Bombyx mori: one gene and its partner. The protein of the gene in region 1 purifies or fractionates together with the protein of each later gene. This does not show direct contact. Links are inferred from orthologs where the notes say so. Each region holds a gene or a part of one and is shown on either strand. Other genes may lie near its edges. The genes, in order: uncharacterized protein LOC101737130 and S-phase kinase-associated protein.

Region 1 (12,057 bases):
ATTAACAGCACTCACATTCACTGTGCTTTGGTCACAGATGGTACAGAGTATCATGAGTCCAGTCTTGTGTACATTTTCAATAACTTCTGTAATAAATGTTTTTAACTCAACTGATTGGAGGCTGTTGGTAAAATAGTAGGCGACAGGTTGCTTGTAGTTTTTTTTATGCCTTTCACCATAAAAACTAAGGCATGATCTGCTAATTTGTGTCCATGGCTTGTGAACCCTTTTAATTGGTCTTTTGCTGCATCATAATGCAGCTGAGGGGTTATAGACATCTCATCAAAAATTAAAGTGCACAAGCGGTCTTCCATGGTGAGCTCACTAACAGTTTTCTTTAATTTTTCCATAACAATCGTATTGATACCAGGGCCCAATTTAATTTCACTGAGAAGTCTTTTCAAAGTTTTAGGCGCTGGTAAAGAAAAATACCTGGACAACATTGAATAACATTTGGGACTTCTTTTGTAGAGTGTTAATGATAGCACTTTTTCTTCTAATAGAAATCTCCTGCCCGACGGTTTTTTTGACGTAGTGCGAAACTGCATATTCGTAAAAATCTTTGCAGGCAGAGTCATATTTTTGGCAATCCTTTTAAATGCAGATTCATCAGTAATCTTTTCAGCATTTGCTAATCTTGTCCTGAAGTTATCTTCTCTTTTTTGAAAAGTGTTCACTCTTTTCCTTAATTGTTTGATTTGACTTTGGTACATATTATATTTTCGCAAGGATAAACGATTGTTCCGTGTCATCATATCTGGAAGTAAAAAAATTAAATAGATATTAGAACTGAAAACCTAAGAATGTAATAGCTCTGAAATTTGTGATTAGAATTTGTTTCTTCATGAAAGCTACATTATCAGCAAGTAGTATGGGCTATAATATATATACAGGGTTACGTCGACCTATTCCTGTTAAGGGCATGTAGTTTACATAGTTTCTGACTGATTTGACTATGAAACACCCTATCATCAATCTAACCAATTTAGAGATATTTGAATATAATTGTTTTTTATAAAATTACCCAAATTTTGGCTATCAGCTTAGATATTTTGAAATGCATTAGCCTAATTATCATTATTACTTGATTTTTACTTGTAAAATAAGATGCTGTATGACCCCTGTAACCAATATTGTATGTAAAATGAATAAATAAGTCTATGTAGATAATTAAAACTTATAGAAACCAATTAAAAATTAATTTTTAAAAATAATAATAATAAAAGTTAATTTTTCTTTCAAGGATATCTAAAAAAAATATTATGGCGCCTGTTTGGCAGATGTACTTAACAATATCTATGTTTCATCAGCTATCTAACAAGGTATAACGATCTAGGTTTTTATCAAAAATTTGTAGAAAACACTTAGTTTTATAGGCTACAGGAGAGGCTAAACAAAACAATAAGTGAATATGTACAAGATACTAAGTTTATTAAACTTTCAAGTTCCAAAAAAACATCTTAAGTCTAAATTTCATATTCAACATGTCTGCCCGTTTTGCACACATCTTCGCATTGTTTTACAAAGCGCACCGCATTAACCTTGAAGGAGAATTATTATTGGCGAGGGACTGTTAGAACTGCTACCTGGGGGCTCGCAACTAATTTTTTTTCTATGATGTTTTATTTAAACCCTAGATTGTTATACCTCGTTGGATAGCTGATGAAACGTAGATATTGTTAAGCACATCTGCCAAACAGGCGCGATAATATTGTTTCTAGATATCCTTGAAAGAAAAAAAATCTATTTTTTATTCGCGTTTATAAGTTTTAATCGCCTGTGACTTATTTATTCATTTTACATACAATATTGGTTATAGGGGTCATACGGCATCTTATTTTACAAGTAAAAATCAAGTACTAATAATAATTATACTTATGCATTTCAAAATATCTAAGCTGATAGCAAAAAATTGGGTTTTTTTTTGTATTTAAATTCAAATATCTTTAAATTGGTTAGTTTTATGATAGGGGGCTTCATAGTCAAATCAGTCAGAAACTATGTAAATTACAGGCCCTTAACGGGAATAGGTTGACTTAGCCTGTAACCCTGTATAAATATAAATTAAGCTATAAGGCTCGCCCATTGTGACATTTAAGTATCTTGATGTACAATTAAGTATATTTAAATAAATAAACCCTTATGCACCCTTTCGTACACTAAGCTTCAAAACTCAAGTGCAAGATACATAGGTATAAAATTATATTAATATCTAAATTTCAAATTAGATTCTCTGCATTGTTTTTATTATTATAGTTCAATCATGATTATGATTAATTCCAATTTTTCTTGTTCAAAGATTTACAAACCTTCAACTAGGACATTGGAAGTTGTAGGTTCAATAACATCCAAATTCAATGTCTCTTGTACTGAGGAGGCAAAGCTTACTCCTAAAGAATTTTTTTCTCTTTCTCCCAGATCAGTTTCTGTAAAAGTAAAAAGAATCTATATATCTGTTAAAACTAGTTACTACAGTAACACAGTAAGTAACTTTTTTTACCGATTAAATGAAGCGATGGAACTCCCAAAGCGTCCACACGATTGTATCGGTTTTTATTTTCTTTTGCAAAATGCCGATCACATATGCGTTGGTTTCTGTAGTATTCATAGTCCTCTGGGGTATCCAGTTTACCTCCAATTGCTTGAACCCATGCCTTAAAACGTTCAGGTTTACTCTCTAGGCTGGGAAATACGTGAAACCTTACACCTGAAAAAATTAAGTACGATATGTATATACTGTTGATAACAACCGGTAAGCACTGTCAGAGACAATTGATTATCTAGTGTATAAGGGATTTCATTATGCTACTTCTATTGCTATAATTCAGCTCTAAATTATTATTAACAGCAAAGTACAAAAAACACATCAAGACAACTTTATCCAAGATTCGTAACCTGTACAAACATTCGATGTTAACATAAATTCTTTGGGCAATTTTATTTAATTTATAAATTTGGTAGCAGTTGGGCTGAATCCATTTGGTATTATTGATTTGGACATTTGAAACTGAATTATTCTAGAAGTTGTATAAGTATAGAAGCTTACCAGGTTCTGGTGCACATTTTAATATACAGCGTCTCGGCATCGTGTCGAAGTAATATTAAGAGCACAGAGAAAGTATACACTTGAGCGTCTATTCCGCAAAACCAACACAAATAGCGATAGCGTCTTATCACGAACGTCTCCCGGTCAGTAGCCGGCAGGCCGGCACACAAAATCTATGAATTTATGATATAAACTTCACAGAAGCGCGGAGGAACACGGAGCTCGACTACACACACTATCTGGAGTATCACAAACACGAAGAAAACAGAATTTATCACAAAACGCAACGAAAACTACAAACACGCGCATACGCAAATTGCAATCGCCATTTTGTGTCACTCAAATCTGACAACTTGAAAACTGTCGTAGCGTTGTCACTGACTGTCGGTAACTATGCGATGGAGTGGCAATGCCATCTTACACTTTTTGATGAACTATTATGTGGCTTAGTTTTAAGAGCGGTGTATTAGATGGCGCGACTGTGTTTTATAAAATATGTTTGTAGGCTACTGTCCCGGCCCTGGCTAATCTGCAAAAACGAGATTGTAGGTATTGGAGGGTGTCTGTGTGTGTGTGTGTGTGTGTGTGTGTGGGTCGCGTGAGCAAACACCACAGTCGCGTAAGGCATGACAGGCTGTAAGCAAGTTTTCTAAAGTGTCACCTTTTTCCGAAGGGACATTTTACTCCGTTTACAGACAATGAGGTAGAGCCTGCCGAGAATAAACGCGGCACGATCGCAGACTGATTTTATATGTGGGCGGAATGTCATGGATGCATCCAGGGTGACACCCAGGCGATTGACCGAAGTTGGCCGAAGAGGGTGATCGGGGGTGTGAGATTCCTCCTCCTAATTCGGGCGGAAATCCGCGTGGAGTTTCCCCTTTGAAATAGCATCGCAGTGCTTTTCGCTGGGTTGATGTTTATGCACCGTTTTCGGAACGACGTGTTTCCTCGCGATTAGGGACTTGTTTCTACTCGAATAGCATAAAGCCGTGTCGTCGGCGAATAAAGCTCACTCGTAAGGTTGGCGGCGACCGGGCAATATCGTTGACGAATAAACTAAATTAAAATTAAATAGAAGCGGTGAGAGGACCGAGCCCTGCGGGACTTCAGTCGTGAGCGGTCGCGGGGAGAAGCGGGTTCCCTCGCCTCGAAATCAAAAAAAGCGGTTTGACAAGAAATCCCGAGCAATAGTTTCAAAATCAAACCGTTGTGCCAGACTTGGTCGAACGCTTTTGCCACGTCGAAGAAGAGAGCTCCCGTATACCTATAGCGGTATTGATCGGTTAAGTGTTTTATTTTGTCTATTTAGTGTTTCTTCAGGTTTAAATGTGTAATAACGGTGGTTTATTAACTGTTTACTGTCTAGTATCTGTGAAAGTCTAGTAACTGTTTAGTATCTGTGAAAGTGCCCAAATGTGGGAAAATGAAACCAAGCCGCTGGACGTAACTTCTTGGGATCCTCCAAAAAGTCCACTGAGAAAGTCTCAGTAAATGACCACCATTTTATCCAGATTATGTTTCATCCCCATCTCATCTCATTTCATTTTATTTCATACCATGTTTCGTAATATTAATCAACTTTGTTGGACGGTTAAATTTGAGGGGATTGGTTTCTGTAGGCTGATGAGAGGCTATTACACTGATATTAATAATGGCCAACATGAACAGTTTCCTTCGTTTTTTACTATTCATAATTATAGAAATCATAATACTTGACACTGGCTAATGCACAAACCGTGCCGGAGACAAAAAATAAAGAAGAAGAAGAAAATCACAGATAAACACTATAATTTATTTTTATGAATAAACAGTAAGGAAACTGAATTTAGGCTTTGTATTAATTAAATAAATACCTAAATAAAATCCTGCCTGCGAAGTCTGTAAAACTGCAAAAGTTCAAGTGTAAAATTAATACATCATCAAGTGCCAGCAATGACTGCTATAGGTCCGGAATTCATTGACTATATAAAGAAGTTAGAAGATAACTGTGACAAACTAGTGACTTCATATGAACAACCATTTGATTTTGAGTATGATGTGAGTAAAATACTGATTTCTTAAATATAACATTAGGTTTTTACAGTAAACACTACAATAAAAATAAACTTTACACCCTGGTACATTTTATATTCTACTTGATTTTTCAACATTGTAATACTAATTGAAATAAAAGCAAACTTCACTGGACAACTAAGAAAAATGGTTTCTCTAATTTTCTAACATTGCAAAAGTTTTCAAGTGGTCTCTTCAGGGCCAGGTTAAATTGAGAAGAAAATAGGAATTATAGTTTTCTAGAAAATCTTTGCAATGCCTAGAGGGTTCAAAGGTGAGGACAAACCCTTATAATTTCATGTCTATTGTATTGCACATTGTTATTAACTAAAAAATATTAAGACAAGACACCAAATAGGAATCAATGATTTTTTAAATTTGCCATAGTAAAAAAATTTAGATTTGTTTGTTTGCTTGTTGGCATGTTTTAAATATATTGCTAAACATAATTTCATTATTTCCTTGATGCCATCCTAACACCTACAATGAGAGTTTGGGACAAAACAATAGTATAGTAAGCGGCACGTAAGTTGGCAAGGTTTTGGTGTAGTGGGGGTAATGTCGCGCATAGTGCACATTGCAACAAAAATATGGTCACTTTTATTGCCCGCATATAATTTTATTTTATTTTATTTTATTTTTTATTTGCCATAATTTGTTTTTAAGCCTGTGTGCTTAGAAGAAAGTTAAAGAAAAGAGAGGAATTCGTGAAGTGTATTAGTTGTTATAAATAAAATACAATTAAAAGGTAAGGAGTTTATTTAAAAAAATATACTTAATATTAAAAATTATGTGTCGCCGTCGTTACTATCATTTTCTAATAGTGCTACCCCTTGGATTAAATTTATGGTAGCACCTGAGCTGGTGGAAGGAGTTGGCTCTTCATCGTTAACATAACAAAGCGTCGCTGTCGTCACTGGCGTAAATAATAAAACGCTCAGTGACTGAATCGACTATATGGTCATTGGTATTTGGTCCTGGCATTACAAACAAATTTAAAAGAATAACGACTTCTGTGCATCTAACGACTCTTGCTAAGTTACGTGCTGGGGACTATACTTTTGTTTTAATTAGTATTTGAAAAATACTTGCTTATCGAAATTTGAAAATATTAAAAAAATTCCATACAAGCATCAATACTTATAACATAATTCATACATATTACATGTTTTTCAGAATTCAACATGTCATGTCTGTAATGGATATTATGGCCCTAGTTTTGGGGAACCAGTCTGCGTCACTTGCCATGCTTTTCTATTCCCTGATTTTCCATCATACCTTCCAACTTCCTACTTCTGTACTGAAAAAACAGATGATGGTGATTCTGGCAATGATGAACCTTCGGATCTCAACTACAGCTCTGAAAGGAGGTTACATAGAACATGTACATTGCCAGCTTGGTGGTATTATAGGGTAAGTAAATGAATTCAAATAAAAGTGTGCCGTTGCTCTCTGATTTATCTGTAATTAAAATTTTTAGGTATATAGGTTCAAACTTTGATTTCTTTCTGTCAACTGTTAATGGCACTAACATTGTGATAGAAACATCAGCAACTACAATATCCACTGCTGACGGATGGATTAAAATTCAATTTTTAAAATTTAGAGCTATAAACTACATCTAGTTAAAAATGTAGATTTTATAGTTACAGCGGTTGATATGTTTTTAGTCAGAACTTTTTTTTTTATTGCTTTATGGGTGGACGAGTTCACAGCTCACCTGGTGCTAAGTGGTTACTGGAGCCCATAGACATCTACAACGTAAATGCGCCATCCACCTTGAGATATAAGTTCTAAGATCTCAGTATAGTTACAACGGCTGCTCTACCCTTCAGACCGAAACGCATTACTACTTCACGGTAGAAATAGGCAGGGCAGTGGTATCTACCCGCGCGGACTCACAAGAGTAATTACGCAAGTTATAATTTTGCGGGTTTGATTTTTATTACACGATGTTATTCCTTCACTGTGGAAGTCAATCGTGAACATTTGTTAAGTACTGTTTTGTTCTCTGATGATGCTAGCTACCATGTGCCCTACCAAGAGAACAATCTAATATTTATTTTTTCTGAAATTAATCTTTAATTATACTAATAAAATAGCATAGTTTGTTATTAAGTTGATTAGTGTAATATCATTTTATCATGAAATATTTTATATAGTAAATAGAAGGTATTTTTTTAGAACTCGTTAGACAGTGAGACAAGTCCTGAAGATGAGGTAAGCAGGGCTAGCAACTCAGGCCCGGGTGCAAGCAGTAGCAGTTCAATGTCAGACCGTGCGGTGCAAGCACCCCCACCGCCTCCTCCACCAATTCCGAGTCTTGCGCGATCTTTACACGCCCTTTCAACACCACGGCCACCTGATAATTTAGCTCCAGGACTAGTTGAACATTTACCATCAGAAGGTATATTAGCCATTTCAACCCAATAGTTTCTTTTTTTTAGAACTTTGATGGGTGGACGAGCTTACGGCCCAACTGATGTTAAGTGGTCACGGGATCCCATAGACATCTACAACGAAAATGCCGCCACCCACCTTGCAACAAGAGTTCTATGTCACGGTTTTATAGTATAATGGCTGCCCCATCCTTCAAACCGAAATGCCGTACTTCACTGCAGAAATAGGCAGAGTGGTAGTAGCTACCCATGAGGTCTTATAATACGCCCCACCATAAGTAATTACGCAAATTATAATTTTGCAGGTTTGATTTTTATTACACGATGTTATTCTTTCACCGTGGAAGTAAATCGTGAACAATTGTTTAGTACGTATTTCATTACAAAAACTGGTACCCGCCTTTGGGATTCGCGCACCGGTGCATCGCTAGATACGATTGCACCGGGCGTCTTATCCTTTAGGCCATGACGATTTCAAAACGTTCTCTTGTGATATGGCTAAAAACACACAAAGAGGCATTTTAACATTGAGTAGACGTGTGAACGAATTCATGCTTTTTGATGTTTCTTGAGGCCAAGTATATTCTGGCAGCGCATGGTGTTTTTCCCATATTGGCTTAGAATACGCTCTACCACCAGTCAATAACGGTCGGCCATGGCAGCATGCTGGTATAATTGGAATTCTGTTGCCTATTCTCCGGTGAATTCCTTAGTCTATTTTTACGACGCCTCTTAGTCGACTTTTACGACGCCCCTTAGTCGACTTTTACGACGTCCCTTAGTCGACTCTTACGACGGCCACAGGAAGGCATCATGCTATTCATTGCCAGCTAGCCATGTTCCTACATTCGTATTTATTATTGTTTTCAGTGTTGTTGTGCATCTTCAGTTACCTGGACGATTTGTCGCTATGCGCCTGTTCTTGTGTGTGCACGCGATGGTGGAGGCTGGTACGAGCCCGGGTGTGTCCAGGACGGTGGGAGGACTTCGCGGCCGCTCGTTGGCCACTCTATCGTCCACTCGCCACGCACACCGACTGGCACAAGGTAATGAAGATGATAATAATATAGTACATTGTGCGCCAAGAGAGAAAAGTTGGGCATTTCCTCCCGCGTGTAAAATTGCCACCCGAGCCGAAGCCGAGGGTGGTAAACACGCGGGATAAAAACACGCGCAACTCATAAAAAAAACAATTTAACTGTTTTTGAATTTTTAAATAAACAACTACTAATTGAATAAGAACTGTCTGATGAACTCATATTTGTTTAATACTTCACTATTAAATTTTTTTGCCTTTTGTTTATTTCACTTTTACACTAAGCACAAGATTGCAAATTACCCGAGCACAACAATGGCGGAGAATTTTAGGTGCGTAAGAGCAGACGCAGATACTAACGCGCATGCGCACTTGTCAGTATCCAGGGAGGAAAAGTCACACTTTCTTCTCTGTACAGCAGGACGCAAACCGAACTTTCGGCGTCGGTAGGAGAAAAAATACTTATTCCAAGCTTAATTGTAAAAAATCATATATAAAAAAAAGTTTATCATAAAATAAGTTTATTTAATATAATTCAATTATGTATGGATTAATGAAATATATAAATGGGTGAAATGTAGTTTCGGTTCAAATTGTTCGTCAATCTCTACTTGATTAAAATACTTTGACAAGTTCAGTTTGTTGATTTTAATATAATTTCTGACTTTGATTGTACTCGGGATTAAGCCGCTTTCTCAAATCAATTGTTTGTGACCTACTTTTTTTTTTAAATACATTACTGCTGCAATGAATCTTGAATCTTTATTAAGATGTAGTTTTTGACGTGGAAATGTATATAACTAATGTCAGTTTACTAAACTTTTATATATATTTTTAGAAGTATCAATCTCTAGTGGAGTCATGTTTCTGCCGTAACTGTCTGGTGCAAATGTGTGTACAAGCTCAGCCGGCCGGAGAGGAAAACGCTTGGAGGAGAAACAGGCTTAGGATAGAACTCAAGGTAAATATTAAAAGTTTTTTTCTTTTTTAATTCTTTATTAGAGCCATACACCTATTGGGTTAAGTCGGCTTAAAAGTAATTTTATGTTAAAATGCATTGTACCCCATTATGTTAGTAGTCAGCAGCAAAGGGATTTTGTGATAAACAAAAGCAGAAAATATATACTTTGGCCAAGCGTGACTGAATTACTTATTTGATTATGTAGAAAGACTGAGATGGGAGTAGACAGCTAATTCGAACTATAATAAAAATTTAAATCTCTGATTTCAAAATTCAGACAGAAAAATGTTTTAGTCATGTTTCAATTGAAATTCTATTAATGTGATTATGTTATTTTAGCCACAGTGGAAACCTGCTCTACTATTCTCTGGAATAGAGTTGTAGGGAGTCAGTTACCTTCTGTCGTTTTCATTAAGTCTTCATACTGAGTATTTAAGGCAGTTTTTCTGTTAAAGCAAACGGTCCTATGTTCTGATTATTTATATATGTAATGATTTATTTATAAACTTTACAGGTATCATTTAATACTTTTCATCACTTTATATTATTATTGTAGTAATTAGAACAGCACTTAAATTTACAATTATAAACACAAACTCGAAGTCGTCGTGGCCTAAAGGATAAGACGTCCGGTGCATTCGTATGTAGCGATGCACCGGTGTTCGAATCCCGCAGGCGGGTACCAATTTTTCTAATGAAATATGTACTCAACAAATGTTCACGATTGACTTCCACGGTGAAGGAATAACATCGTGTAATAAAAATCAAACCCGCAAAATTATAATTTGCGTAATCACTGGTGGTAGGACCTCTTGGGAGTCCGCACGGGTAGGTACCACCACCCCGCCTATTTCTGCCGTGAAGCAGTAAGGGGCCATCCATAAAGTACGTCACACGAATTTTAGGACTTTTGAACCCCTCCCCCCCTCCTTGTCACAGGTTGTCACATTTTTATAACCCCCCCCTCCTGATGTGACGTCACACATTTTTTAAATTTATGTATGTATTTAAAAATAATCGAGAGAAAACAGCTATTTTCATTTTTTACTTATTTTTATTAAATAATAATCTAATAAAATCAACATAAAGTCCAACATTTCATAAAACCGAAAAAACAAACGACTAGTTAGAAAATAATAAACGATTAATTATATTAATTAAAGATAAAAAAACTTAATTATCGAGTGTCCATGGACTTTGGATCCACTCTTTTATATCAGCTATTACTGGTAAATCAGGCACTTCATTTTTAATTATTTATTATTATTAATAAATATAGATCAAGTTTGTAAATTTTTAAAATTTTTAATTCACATACAAACTTTGCGTTTTAGTATTTTAAATTTTAACATGTGACGTCACAAAAGTATTGACCCCCTCATGCCCCTTGTCACACGATGTCACACTTCGGTGATACCCTCCCTCCCCATTAACGTGTGACGTACTTTATGGATGGCCCCTAATGCGTTTCGGTTTGAAGGGTGGGGTAGCCGTTGTTACTATACTGAGACCTTAGAACTTATATCTCAAGGTGGGTGGCGCATTTGCGTTGTAGATGTCTATGGGCTCCAGTAACCACTTAACACCAGGTGGGTTGTGAGCTCGTTCACCCATCTAAGCAATAAAAAAAATTTCATGTCATCTTTGAATGCAGTTCTAATAGACAGTCAAATTTAATTCGGGTTTTTTTATTGCCTTTCTAGGTACACGAGCATACAGCTTAAGTGGTTACCGTCGCTTATGGACATCAGCAATGCCAGGAGCAGAACAAGCCGCTGCCTACTATTCAATGCGTACCATTCAGGTCAATTTGCACAATTAATAAGTGGTTAAGGGTGCTCATAGACATCGGCAATATCAGCGCCATAGACAGACCGCTGCCCGGGTTTCTCATTTCAAAAAGTTCATTCAAGAAAGACATGCATTTGGAAATGCATATCGAATGGATATCGATATACATATATGGAATGGAATGCTCGATCGCGTACGGTTAAAATGAAAAGAAACGATTAAAATAAATAACTTTAGTAAAAAAAAAGATGTTTAAGATGGCTGAATGACAAGTGAGCTACTTTTAGTTGTGTTGTTACAGAAGCTTACAGCTATCACAACGAGGCGTATAGTGGGACCACTGACCTGATTATATATGTAATTAAGCATATGAGCATACAATGAACTCATCTAAAAAGTTTTCAAATTTACTTTTGGTTAAAGTAAATATTTTTCTTTTGATTCGCAGATGCTACGCAACGATCCTCCGGAAGGCATAGCGGCGACTCCGCTGGACCCGAAGTGTTGCCACTGGCAGGCGAGCGTCACCGGACCTGTCGGCTCGCCCTATGAGGGCGGAGTCTTCTACCTCTACATTCAAGTGCCATACTCGTTAGTATAATTAAAAAAAAAAATTTGCTTACACGGTTGGACGAGCTCACAGCACACCTGGTGTTAAACCGTTACTGGAACCCATAAACATGTACAACGTAAATGCGCCTCCCACTTTGATTATGATGTTGAAAGTGAGTCGCTCTCGCGACGCAGGTATCCGATGAGTCCACCCGTG
Region 2 (11,124 bases), on another chromosome or scaffold:
GTTCACTATAACTTTTCTCATGCTGACCAAATTTGTTCTAAAATAAAGCATTATTTGTGAAGGTGTTTTTTATAAAAATGATATTAACCCTTATGCAAATAAATACGTTACCTATTTATTACGTAAATAAAATAAATGTGGCCGAATTAATAACCTTCTCCTTTAAACTCGTTTAAAAATCGTGATTTTGGTAACTTAAATAGCTCCTTAACATTCATATTCAAAAATATTTTCACCTTCTACGTAAATGAAGTCGTCGGTAAAGTTTAGCGTTGTTCCAAAGTAACTATTCCACGCGAACGAAGTCGCGAGCAAAAGCTAGTTTAATATAATTTTTTATTGCATTGTGGGACCAGTGAGATCACGATCCATCCGGTGTTAGTGTTTACCAGAGCCCATAAACTTCATAACGTGTATGCCGTTATCCATTTTGAAACATGAGGTTGAAGTCTCAATTGCGTTGTATAACGGCTGTCTCATTTATTTAAATCACAGCGCAACATCGCTTCGCCTAAGAAATAGACAGATTGATGTGTACATAATAATATGAGCTTTCTCGTGCGTTATTGCTTACTGATTAGTTTTATTATTCGTAGTTACTTATACATTTTCAATAATAAAGCCAAGCCAGCCGAGTCGCTGCCTCCTATTTCGTTTTTCGATGTTAAATCAACAAGAGGGATGAGTTCAGTGTGCTTAGTGCGAGTTTTTTAACGTTCTCGATAGCGTAAAAGTTAGCTCATATTTGTATGGAATGGAATCGTTTGCCTACGTTTGCCGCTAGGGGCGCTGTTCCAACTGCATACAAAATTGGGCTACCTTTTACGCTATCGAGAACGTTAAAAAACTTGCACCAAACACATAGGTGTGTATATCACTGAACTGGTTTTGGGTAGATTTTTTTCTTGGGCTTGCCGCAGCCTAACGTTGGGTACTGTCTTGAAAGACTTGATATAGCGCTTGGCAATCGCTGAGTAGCAGAGTTAATTCCAGATCTATATGGAAGGCGGCAAAAATGTTTGCCGAAGTTCCTGGAGTAGAGCCCTGCTTCCGCAATATGACTAACTTTGTGCATATTATATGGCAATTTTGTAGGAAAAGGTAACACCTAGTATTACAACAGAAATAATGATAGAAATCACATCGTATCAACTACCTTTGCAGTTTGACTGTGCCCGTGATATTACAACTGCATGAGCAACTACAATGACCCACGATTAAGTCAGCCATTACGCTTCTACCACCAATGACACTAAAGAAAGTCCTACGATTTTGATCTAAGGTCTACTTACAGTTTCAGCTTAAGCTAAGCAAAATAAAAAAAAATATATATATAATATAATAATTAATTAATTAATATAATAATAAAAATTTTGCTTAAATAAACGCAATGTGCTTCATTTAACATCTGGAAGGAGAGCTGAGCACCAGAGCGAAGGTCACATACTGTTGAGTGGCTTAAACTTCGAACATTTGAAGGAAGACGAAAATTATAAATACTTAGGTATAGATGAAGCAGGCAAAATAGATCATAAAAGAATTCAGGATCAGGTGAAAAGAGAGTACTTCAAAAGAGTAAAATGCATCACTAACACACAACTTAGCGCGAGAAACCTCATAACGGCCATCAACACTTATGCCACACCAGTTCTTTTATACACGTTTGGAATAATAAACTACAAAAATAGTGACTTAAACAAAATAGATATAAAGACAAGGAAGATATTCACTTTGAATAAAGCCCAACAACAAAAAGCGGATATCGAAAGACTCTATTTACCCATAGAAGAAGGAGGCAGAGGACTTATAAATATAGAAATGTTACACAAAACTCAGATTATTAAATTTAGGCAATATTTAAACAATGAACAGGACCAAATCATAAAAGCAATAGTTAAACACGATAAACATAGAGATAAACATTCAATACACAAAGATGGTAAAAATAATGCAGTAAGAATAGAATTAACAGAAAACAGAAACTACACCGATACTGAAATTAAGAAAGCAGTAATAAAGACGGGCATCAGTAAATGGAAAGAGAAACCGCTACATGGACAATTCCGTAGGTCCGTTATAGAGAAGGGTAATATAGATCGAGAGTATTCGTTCCGCTGGCTTAAGAAACAAATCGTGTCCCCCACTTTAGAATCTTCGGTATTTGCTATACAAGATCAGGCAGTAATTACGAGACAAATAGAAAGAGATATTCTAAAGAAATCTGTCGATGGTAAGTGTCGCCTATGCCTAGCAAAAGACGAGTCCATAGAGCATATAATCTCGGGATGTGAAAAACTGGCCGGCACTTACTATGTGAACAGACATAACAACATAGTAAAGTATATTTGGTGGGCAATAGGAAGAAAACACAATTTTGAATTAGACTCGCTATGGTGGAAGGTGAATTTGACTCAACCTCAGATAAAAGAAAACAGCTCCGCGAAGCTAATGTGGTAGATACCAGTGCAGCCGGACGTTACAATAAAGCACAATAGACCAGACATAATATACATAGACAAGACAGAAAATAAAACCTACTTAATAGATATAACTGTACCATCTGACTACAATATAGGACCAAAAGAACTGGAAAAACTTAGTAAATATCACCCCTTAAAAGTAGAACTAACACGACTCTGGAATACACACACAGAAACCATCCCCATAGTAATAGACGCAACAGGCGTAGTGGCAAAAAGTATACATAGATACATAAACAAACTGGAAGCAAATATAAACATACACATAATACAAAAACAAGCAGCCATACACACATGCACAATAATAAGTAAAGTTTTGGGTAATACAGTTTTCATAAATTCAAAGGGAGTCCGAACCTCCTCTTCCCTGAAGGTTTCAGGGCGGGAGCTAGGAACTAAACCGAGTCAAGAACTCGAGAGAAAACTCCTTCATAAAATAAAATAAAATAAATAAACGTCATTGTTTAATAAAATATGTAATAAAAAATTATTACATATTTTATTAAACAATGACGTTTCATAATATTGGATTTATTTCCATGTTTTATTTTTTATTATTTTTTATTGCTTAGATGGGTGGATGAGCTCACAGCTCACCTAGAGTTAAGTGGTTACTGGAGCCCATAAACATCTACAATGTAAATGCCGCCACCCACCTTGAGATGAGTTCTAAGGTTTCAATATAGTTACAACGGCTACCCTACCCTTCAAATCGAAACGCATTACTGCTTCACGCACTGCAGTAATAGGCGGGGTGGTAATTTTTTTTTCCTACCTGTGCTAATTGCCTTGAGAGGCTATTTCAGCTTCGCCTTAACGTGTATAGGTGAGTTCACGGGGCTCAAAGCTGACGACGTTTCTAACACTAACCCTAGCAAGAGCAGTGCTTCGCAGAATCTACCACCGGATGGGAAATGCGACCCATTCAAAAAGAAACTCAGTGGGCTGTTTTGCACGATGGCGGTCTGAGCACCGTGATGCGTATGTAATGTGGATCTTCATCATTCGCCTCTTTGGCTTGTATCATAATAATATTATGATCTAACCAAGAGCCTACATAAGAAACATACAAAAAACGTTTTCTTTGAATAGGCTTTCACTTTTAAATCGACATCACTTTATCGCTGATTCGGAATGCAGTATTACCCTTGAGAATAATCAACAAAGAATTTAGATCTCGCTCTTTTACAAACAAAAATAATAAAAAATTAAAGTAGCTCATTTATTCATGATGTATTAAATATATAGAAGACAAGATGTATTGAAAATTCGAATTTGAATTAGAAGAAACGTACCTGCGTTCTATGTCCGAGTACTGGTCATATATCATTGTCACTATTTGTCACCTATCCATCTGACATCATAGCTATCAACAAAATTAAATAGGTAACTATCGCATGTCCTTTAGACTTTTACACGCCAGTAGTCGTAGAAAAAACTCTATAAAGTAGTCCATAACGTAGAAAAACTACGAAACATTTTGTGCATAGGTATATGGGCCGCAAAACGTAGTCACAGGACGATAACTCTTGTATTATTTATCAATTTAAATTAATAATAATTTTATGCTTGAACAATGGATGATTACCAAATACAAAATATTTGTAGATATTCCAGGAAAACATACAAGAAAATCCGACGAGATGATTACAATGTCGATTCGCAGAGTCCCAATAACGATTTAAATACAGACACCGCAGACGTTTCTCCGAGAAGCGATGGCGGAAATGAAATTATTGTTACTGCAGAGTCTCCTCCTGGCTGTACTTGTGATTTAGAGTCGGAAGGTGAAATTGCTAATATATTACACAAGAAATGTCCTGTAATTACATTAGCGCAGCAACAACTTCAGCGCTTGTTAGATGAAACAGACAAGTTACTCTGTGACAATACAAGATGTTGTAGGTGAGTCAGACTTTATCTTAGATTTCTCTAATTGTTGTAACCTTCTTTTCCATATTCTATTATTTGAATTATACTTCGAACACATTGTCATTTTACCACCTATCATTATTATATTTTACGTGTTTTATTATACTAATGAAATACGTACTGAAGAAATGTTCACGAATGACTCCCACGATGAAGGAATAACATCGTGTAATTAAATTAAACACGAAAAAAAAATTGCCTATTTACTTTGGTAGGGCATCGTGTGAGTCCGCACAAATAGCTACCACCACCCTGCCTATTTTCTGCATTGAGGCAGTGATGCCTTTCGGCAGCCATTGTACTCTGGCACTAAGACCTTAGAACTAATTCTCAAGGTGGGTGGTAGCATTTACATTGTTGATATCTATGGGATCCAGTAACCACTTAACACCAGATGGACCGTATGCTAGTTCACCTGTCTAAGAAAAAAAAAAGTTGATTTGCTGTAGATTTAATTAGTCTTGTCATAACAATAAGTATAGATATTAAAAAAATGTATTTAAATCTAGCTTGCAATTAAGTAGTTTTTAAATTCAAAAACTAAAACATAGTTTTCTATTTCAGGTCTATTTATGATTTTTTACACTTATGCTCAGAATTAATATCCACAAAGAATAAATGTCGGTGTATATTGGTCTTTATGCTAGCTATGGTGTTTTTTGTCGGACTTGTTCTCGGTGCTGCTTCGTGCGGCTCCTACCACGGACATTTCAACAGTCCCATCATTAGTTGCATCGATAACTTCTTCATAAGTGACAGTCATTCCAACATAGAAGATACTTACCGGATCGTTGTGTGATGATTGATCAATTTATGTCACTCATTCTAACATAGAAGATACTTACCGGATCGTTGTGTGATGATTGATCAATTTATGTCACTCATTCTAACATAGAAGATACTTACCGGATCGTTGTGTGATGATTGATCAATTTATGTCACTCATTCTAACATAGAAGATACTTACCGGATCGTTGCGATGAAGGATTACCGTGAAACAAAAGTCAATCCGAAAAACATATATTTTTGCGTAATTACTAGTGGTAGGGTGTCATGTGAGCCCAAACGGGTGGGTAGCACCATCCTGCCTATATCTGCCGGGAAGCGGTAAGGCGTTTCGGTTTGAAGGGTGTGGGAGCCGTTGTATTGTAAAAACTGAGACTTTGAACTCATTTCGCAAGATGGGCGGCGGCTTGGACGTGGTTGATGTCTATGGACTCCGGTGACAACCTAACATTAGGCGGGCCATGTTCTGGACCATTCATATTAGCAATAAGAAAAAAAAATCAACGTGTAACTCCGGAATACACCACTGGGTCAGAACTAGTATGGGTCGGTGATCACGGCCATCCTTCACCCGGTTGCTCTTTCGCAAGACGCATGTACAGCTACTTATACAACCAGAAGATATTAAGAATCATATCAATCGATTGACGACAAAACCAGATCCTGCGGAAAGAATGGAAAGCAGTTGACGTCGCCCCAAGCATGTCATTTCGGATCCTCCCGATCCACTAATGGTGCTTTTAGGTACTTCAAGCACCGGTCACCGTTCTCGTCGAACCCGTCGCTTTCGACGAAGGGCTCGACGAGTAAATTAACCCTGAGACACAGCCCATTGAGTTTCTCGCCGGATCTTCTCAGTGGGTCGCGTTCCCGATTCGGTGGTAGATTCTGCGAAGCACGGCTCTTGCTACGGTTAGTGTTAGCAACTTCGTCAGGCTTGAGCCCCGTGAGCTTACCTACTAGTTAAGGTTCCGCTGAAATAGCCTCTCAAGGCTATCAGCTTAGGTAGGAAAAAAAAGACGACAAAATATCATAAATTCATTTTCTCTACAAATGGGATTATTGGAATAGTACAGAACAATCTAAAATCTAAATGAACAACATCTAGGTACTCATTTCTTAAGAGACTTTACTGCAAGATTGTCTTGGTGTAGCCTTATGATCTTCTGTGACATCTCTAGCGTCTGATATCTTCATGGAGGACTTTGAATTTAAAACATCATCATTTGGCCCTGTTCAATACCAGATTTACAAATGGTAGATGCTCTTTCTGTTCTTTCACAGTATTATATAAGAAAAAATTAGGTAAGTCTTTAGAATTCAATTCATGATAATAATAGATCACTTTTATCATGGATTTAGTACACACAATTAATTAGCTTTTTTATTATACACATTGATTTTCAGAAATTCTAATAACACCATTAGTCAATAACTGTGTTTTGGAAACTTAACCATAATAATAGAAACTTTAATGGTGAATTCCGTTATGACCTATGGCAATTATATATTTTTGATATTTGTATTTGTAATAGAGAGCTCAAGGTAAATGTAACACAATGAGAACATTATGTAAAAAAAAAAAACCAGTGGAATGAGCTATATTCCTTGGCACTAGACCAGGAAAATGCTAACAAAAAGAAGAAGGAATGTGTCTTTTTTTTTTTTTTCGGGTAGAGGGCCGAACCTCCTACGAGGTCCCCGCGCAAAAGGGGCGCGCGGGGTATGTGAGACTACGATCTGCATGGTGTTGTGAACAGACCGCGGGCCCAAGGATTTTAGGGCCCACCCACTAAACGACTCCCCTGCACTCTTACACCCGACGTCCGATCCCCTCCGAGGTCAGAACCCGGATGAGGTAGGGGCGTTACCGCGGTCAACACTACAACCAGACGGCGCGGCTAACCCCAAGGACGCCCAGCCGACGGAGCCTTCGAGGCGAATCGAAGGCTCTGAAACGTCGGCCGTCTCGGTACGGCAGCCCGTCGGGCCGCCCAGACGGTGCCGCTGGTGTCCCGGAATACCCCGCTGGACCAAAACCAGCCTGCCGGGTCGGGACGCGATACACCGTCGACCGGTCGCTCTATTTACTGCTATATTGTTCCTGCTGTACATCAAGGGAGGTAGAGAGAAGATAGCAACCTCATACATTGGATAGCATTGGAGTAACACGCACATTTAGTTACGAATTAAGGAAAATATTGCAGATGTCAAACCCAACATAAGTCTGATTTATTTTAACATACTCTGGACAGTGCTAATAGTGAAATTTAACATGGCTCAATACACCCTAAACAATCCTTAATTCCATAAATAGCTCATGAAGCTATTGTAAATAAAAGGAAAAAAGGTTGGATCAGAAAAAAAGTAATCATCTGACTATTACATGAAACCCCAAGTCAAACAAACTATGAGACCTAAACATTATGTTCTATGAAAAGGAGAGAATAAATAATTGATAATTATTATTAATTATTTTTTTTCATTTGTAATGATATTTTATTATTAAAATAATAATGATTGTAAACAATAAATAATTGCCAATAAGATTTTTTTCATTACAAATTTTATAGTTTACTTGCACCTCTTATCCATGACCACAAAAACTGTTAGATTTTGAAACTGAAATTATAAATTGATAATAATATACTCAAGATAAACTGTAAAAGTAGTTTTTTAATTATAAAAATTACAATCCAACAAAAAATAATCACCTTTAAAATTTTGTTTTACATAGCATACAATGTAGCACAATATAAATTAAATTGCTGGAACTCACTTCCAGTTTCTTTTGAAAGAGGCAGACGGACATTTCTGACTATGGGTTCATATACTAAGCTTTAAAAGTAATTTTAATGACAAATATCTAAGAGGAAAAAATTGTTTCATATATATTATTTTCATTTGTTATGCTGATGGTTTAATTCTATCTTAGCATCAGGAACTGACTAAGGGAATGTGGTTATCAAATACATACATATACAGTGAAAATCTATTATAACAACATCGAAGGGACTGCTCATATTCAGTCGTAACAACCAGTGATGTTTAATGTGTATCGTGCAAGTACAAACAAAGTACAAACAAATCGATAGTGAATTATTGGAAAAATATATTTACACAAAACGCAATTTTTCTTTGTTATTAATTTGTTTTTTTTCTTTGCAACATTTTGAAAGTTTCACGAATAACTCCACAAAGTTTTGGTGTGTCTTGTGTATAGATAAGTAACAAACTAACTGAAAAGATATGAAGAAGTGGGCTTTGACTCTACCGCATACACATTTTTGTTTCTAAGAATTAGAAAAGACCCTACACTAAACAAAATCCTATTGTTTTCTTTCCTGATTTTAATAGCCATTGAAGACAAATGTGGATACCTATTCAAATTGTTTACAATACAGCTTAGCCGGTCGTTCTAACAGATCTAATTCTCCGAAATATTAGTTAAATGTGGTCATTTTATTAGGTATGTCGGTATTAGCAATGTCGTATAAAGCAATGTTTTTAATAAGGCGGTCATATAGCATTCAGCCGGGACCTTTGTTCTAGGTTATTATAACCAGCATGTTGCTCAAAATGATGTCGCAGTAAACGGTTGTGACTGTATATTTATTTACTTTTTGTATTGACATTGATGGTGACAAACTTATTTTTGTGGTTTAACATTGCAATGGATACTGGCAATTTCTGGACACAATCAAGACTACCCACACAATTAGTTAAAAAATAAGCAGATGACAAAAATTTAAGTCAGTGATTTATGCTAATTATTTCTATTTCATAAAGTAAATTTTCCAATAAATATAATACAATTAAAGTTAAATGAAAAGTAATTTAAATGATAATATGAAAATTTAAATTTTATTGAAAATCACAATGACATGATGTACCTATTTTTATATAATTTACAACACAAACAAATTTACTTGGTTTAAATTAATTATTCTTTATTGCCATGGGAAAAATAGTTTAATGTTGCATACATAGTGATAATACATAAAGATGCTTGCAAATAGCATTTATTATGGTTTACTTTTCTTCACACCATTCATTCTCTTTACGAACCTGATCTTCTTCTGCAGCAGTGAAATCATTCTTAATGTTGAACGTTTTACGGATTTCTTCAGGAGTCTTTCCTTTGATCATGTTTGCTACAGTTTTACATGTGACATCTAATAAACCCTTGATGTCCAAATAATTTGCAGCTAATATTAATTCAAAGAGTGTGCCTTGGTCAACTTTCAAAAAATCAGCATCCCATGATGATATGTCATCAGTCCTCTTTTCCTTGTTTTCGTCATCTTCTGGTAGCGGAGGATCGTCTTTATGATAAGTAGCCCACTGAATAACTTTTTTGAGTATTGCAGAATTGACATTAGGTAAAGGTACAACTTCCTCTTCATCCTCTTCCATGCCTAAGTCTTCTAGCATAGTTTTGATAGTTACGGAGCATTTGGCGATTTCAACATCAACAACGAAGACCTCGTTGTCTGATGATTGCAACTTAATATTTGGCATCTAGAACAAAAGAGCGGTGGGAACGTAAATCATAAAACGACGGCTGAGAATAAGACGCCATTTTCCAATTTATAAATAGCGAAGTATTTACCTTGTTTTTTCAAGTATTTGAATGTTCACAATTAAGTGAAATTTATTTATCTTCAAACGAAAATGCCCTTATGTTCTGGAGATTTTTCCTTAAACCCAAACAGTGAATCAATGAGTGAACGAATGAATAAAATCATTAATCAATTTTGTTTTTTTTTCTGCTTTCGTTTAAATTTTTCTAAGGGATTTTATGACCTGGTAACTAAGACCTTTAGGTCATGTCTTTTTTTAATTTATATTCAGATTTTTATAAATTTTTTATTATGGAGTGAAATGAAATGAAGATGATTAATTTGAGACATTAATCAACTGGGATGAAATTAAATGAAATGAGTTGATATGGTATGAAATATAATCTCAGTAAAATGGTGGTTATTTACTAAGATTTTTTCAGTGGACTTTTTGGAGGAACTCGAGAAGTTACGTCCAGCAGCTTTGTTTCATTTTCCCACTTTTGTGCACTTTCACAGATATTAAACATTTAATAAACCACCGTTATTACACATTTAAACCTGAAGAAACACTAAATAGACAAAATAAAACAAATCACACAACTTCACTCCTCGCGCTCCCGCCAAAAGTACCTCCAACACCAATTGTTTTTTAAGGGATTTTATGACCTCATAACTAAGACCTTTAAGTCATGTCTTATTTTAATTTATATTCTTATTTTTATGAAAAATGATAATATGGAGATAAATGAAATGAAATGAAGATGATTAATTTGAGAAATTAATCAACTTAGATGAAATTAAATGAAATTTGATGATATGGGATGAAATATGATCTCAGTAAAATGGTGGTCATTTACTGAGATTTTTTCAGTAGACTTTTTAGAGGAACCCGAGAACTTACGTCCAGCAGCTTTGTTTCATTTTCCCACTTTTGTGCACTTTCACAGATATTAAACAGTTAATAAGCCACCGTTATTACATATTTAAACCTGAAGAAACACTAAATAGACAAAATAAAACAAATCACACCACTTCACTCCTCGCGTTCCCGCCAAAAAGTCCCTCCAACACCAACATTCATTTCCCACCATAGATACACACTTAGTTTCCCACACAACTAAAAAAAAAAAGAAACTTGTGAATGGAGTAAAGAAGAAATCTAATATATAAAATTCTCGTGTCACAGTTTTCGTTGCCATACTCCTCCGAAACGGCTTGACCGATTTTGATGAAATTTTTTGTGCTTATCCGGTATCTATGAGAATCGGCCAACATATATTTTTCATCCCCCTAAATGTTAGGGGTAGTCCACCCCTAAATTTTTATTTTTATTTTTTAGACAAAATTTTTAATTTCTATTT

The links.
Region 2: the proteins of uncharacterized protein LOC101737130 (region 1) and S-phase kinase-associated protein purify together in Drosophila melanogaster (affinity purification with western blotting; 3 studies listed by BioGRID, with this or other methods). This does not show direct contact. The link is inferred for Bombyx mori from reciprocal best matches to the Drosophila melanogaster genes morgue and SkpA.

The regions. Positions count from the first base shown.
Region 1 is NC_085125.1:4,946,829-4,958,885, reverse strand, and holds the start of uncharacterized protein LOC101737130, read left to right. Parts: upstream 1-4,764; 5' UTR 4,765-4,981; coding exon 4,982-5,086; intron 5,087-6,277; coding exon 6,278-6,514; intron 6,515-7,285; coding exon 7,286-7,508; intron 7,509-8,370; coding exon 8,371-8,546; intron 8,547-9,374; coding exon 9,375-9,497; intron 9,498-11,736; coding exon 11,737-11,879; intron 11,880-12,035; coding exon 12,036-12,057.
Region 2 is NC_085119.1:7,149,946-7,161,069, reverse strand, and holds S-phase kinase-associated protein, read right to left. Parts: upstream 9,958-11,124; 5' UTR 9,811-9,957; intron 9,720-9,810; coding exon 9,231-9,719; 3' UTR 8,551-9,230; downstream 1-8,550.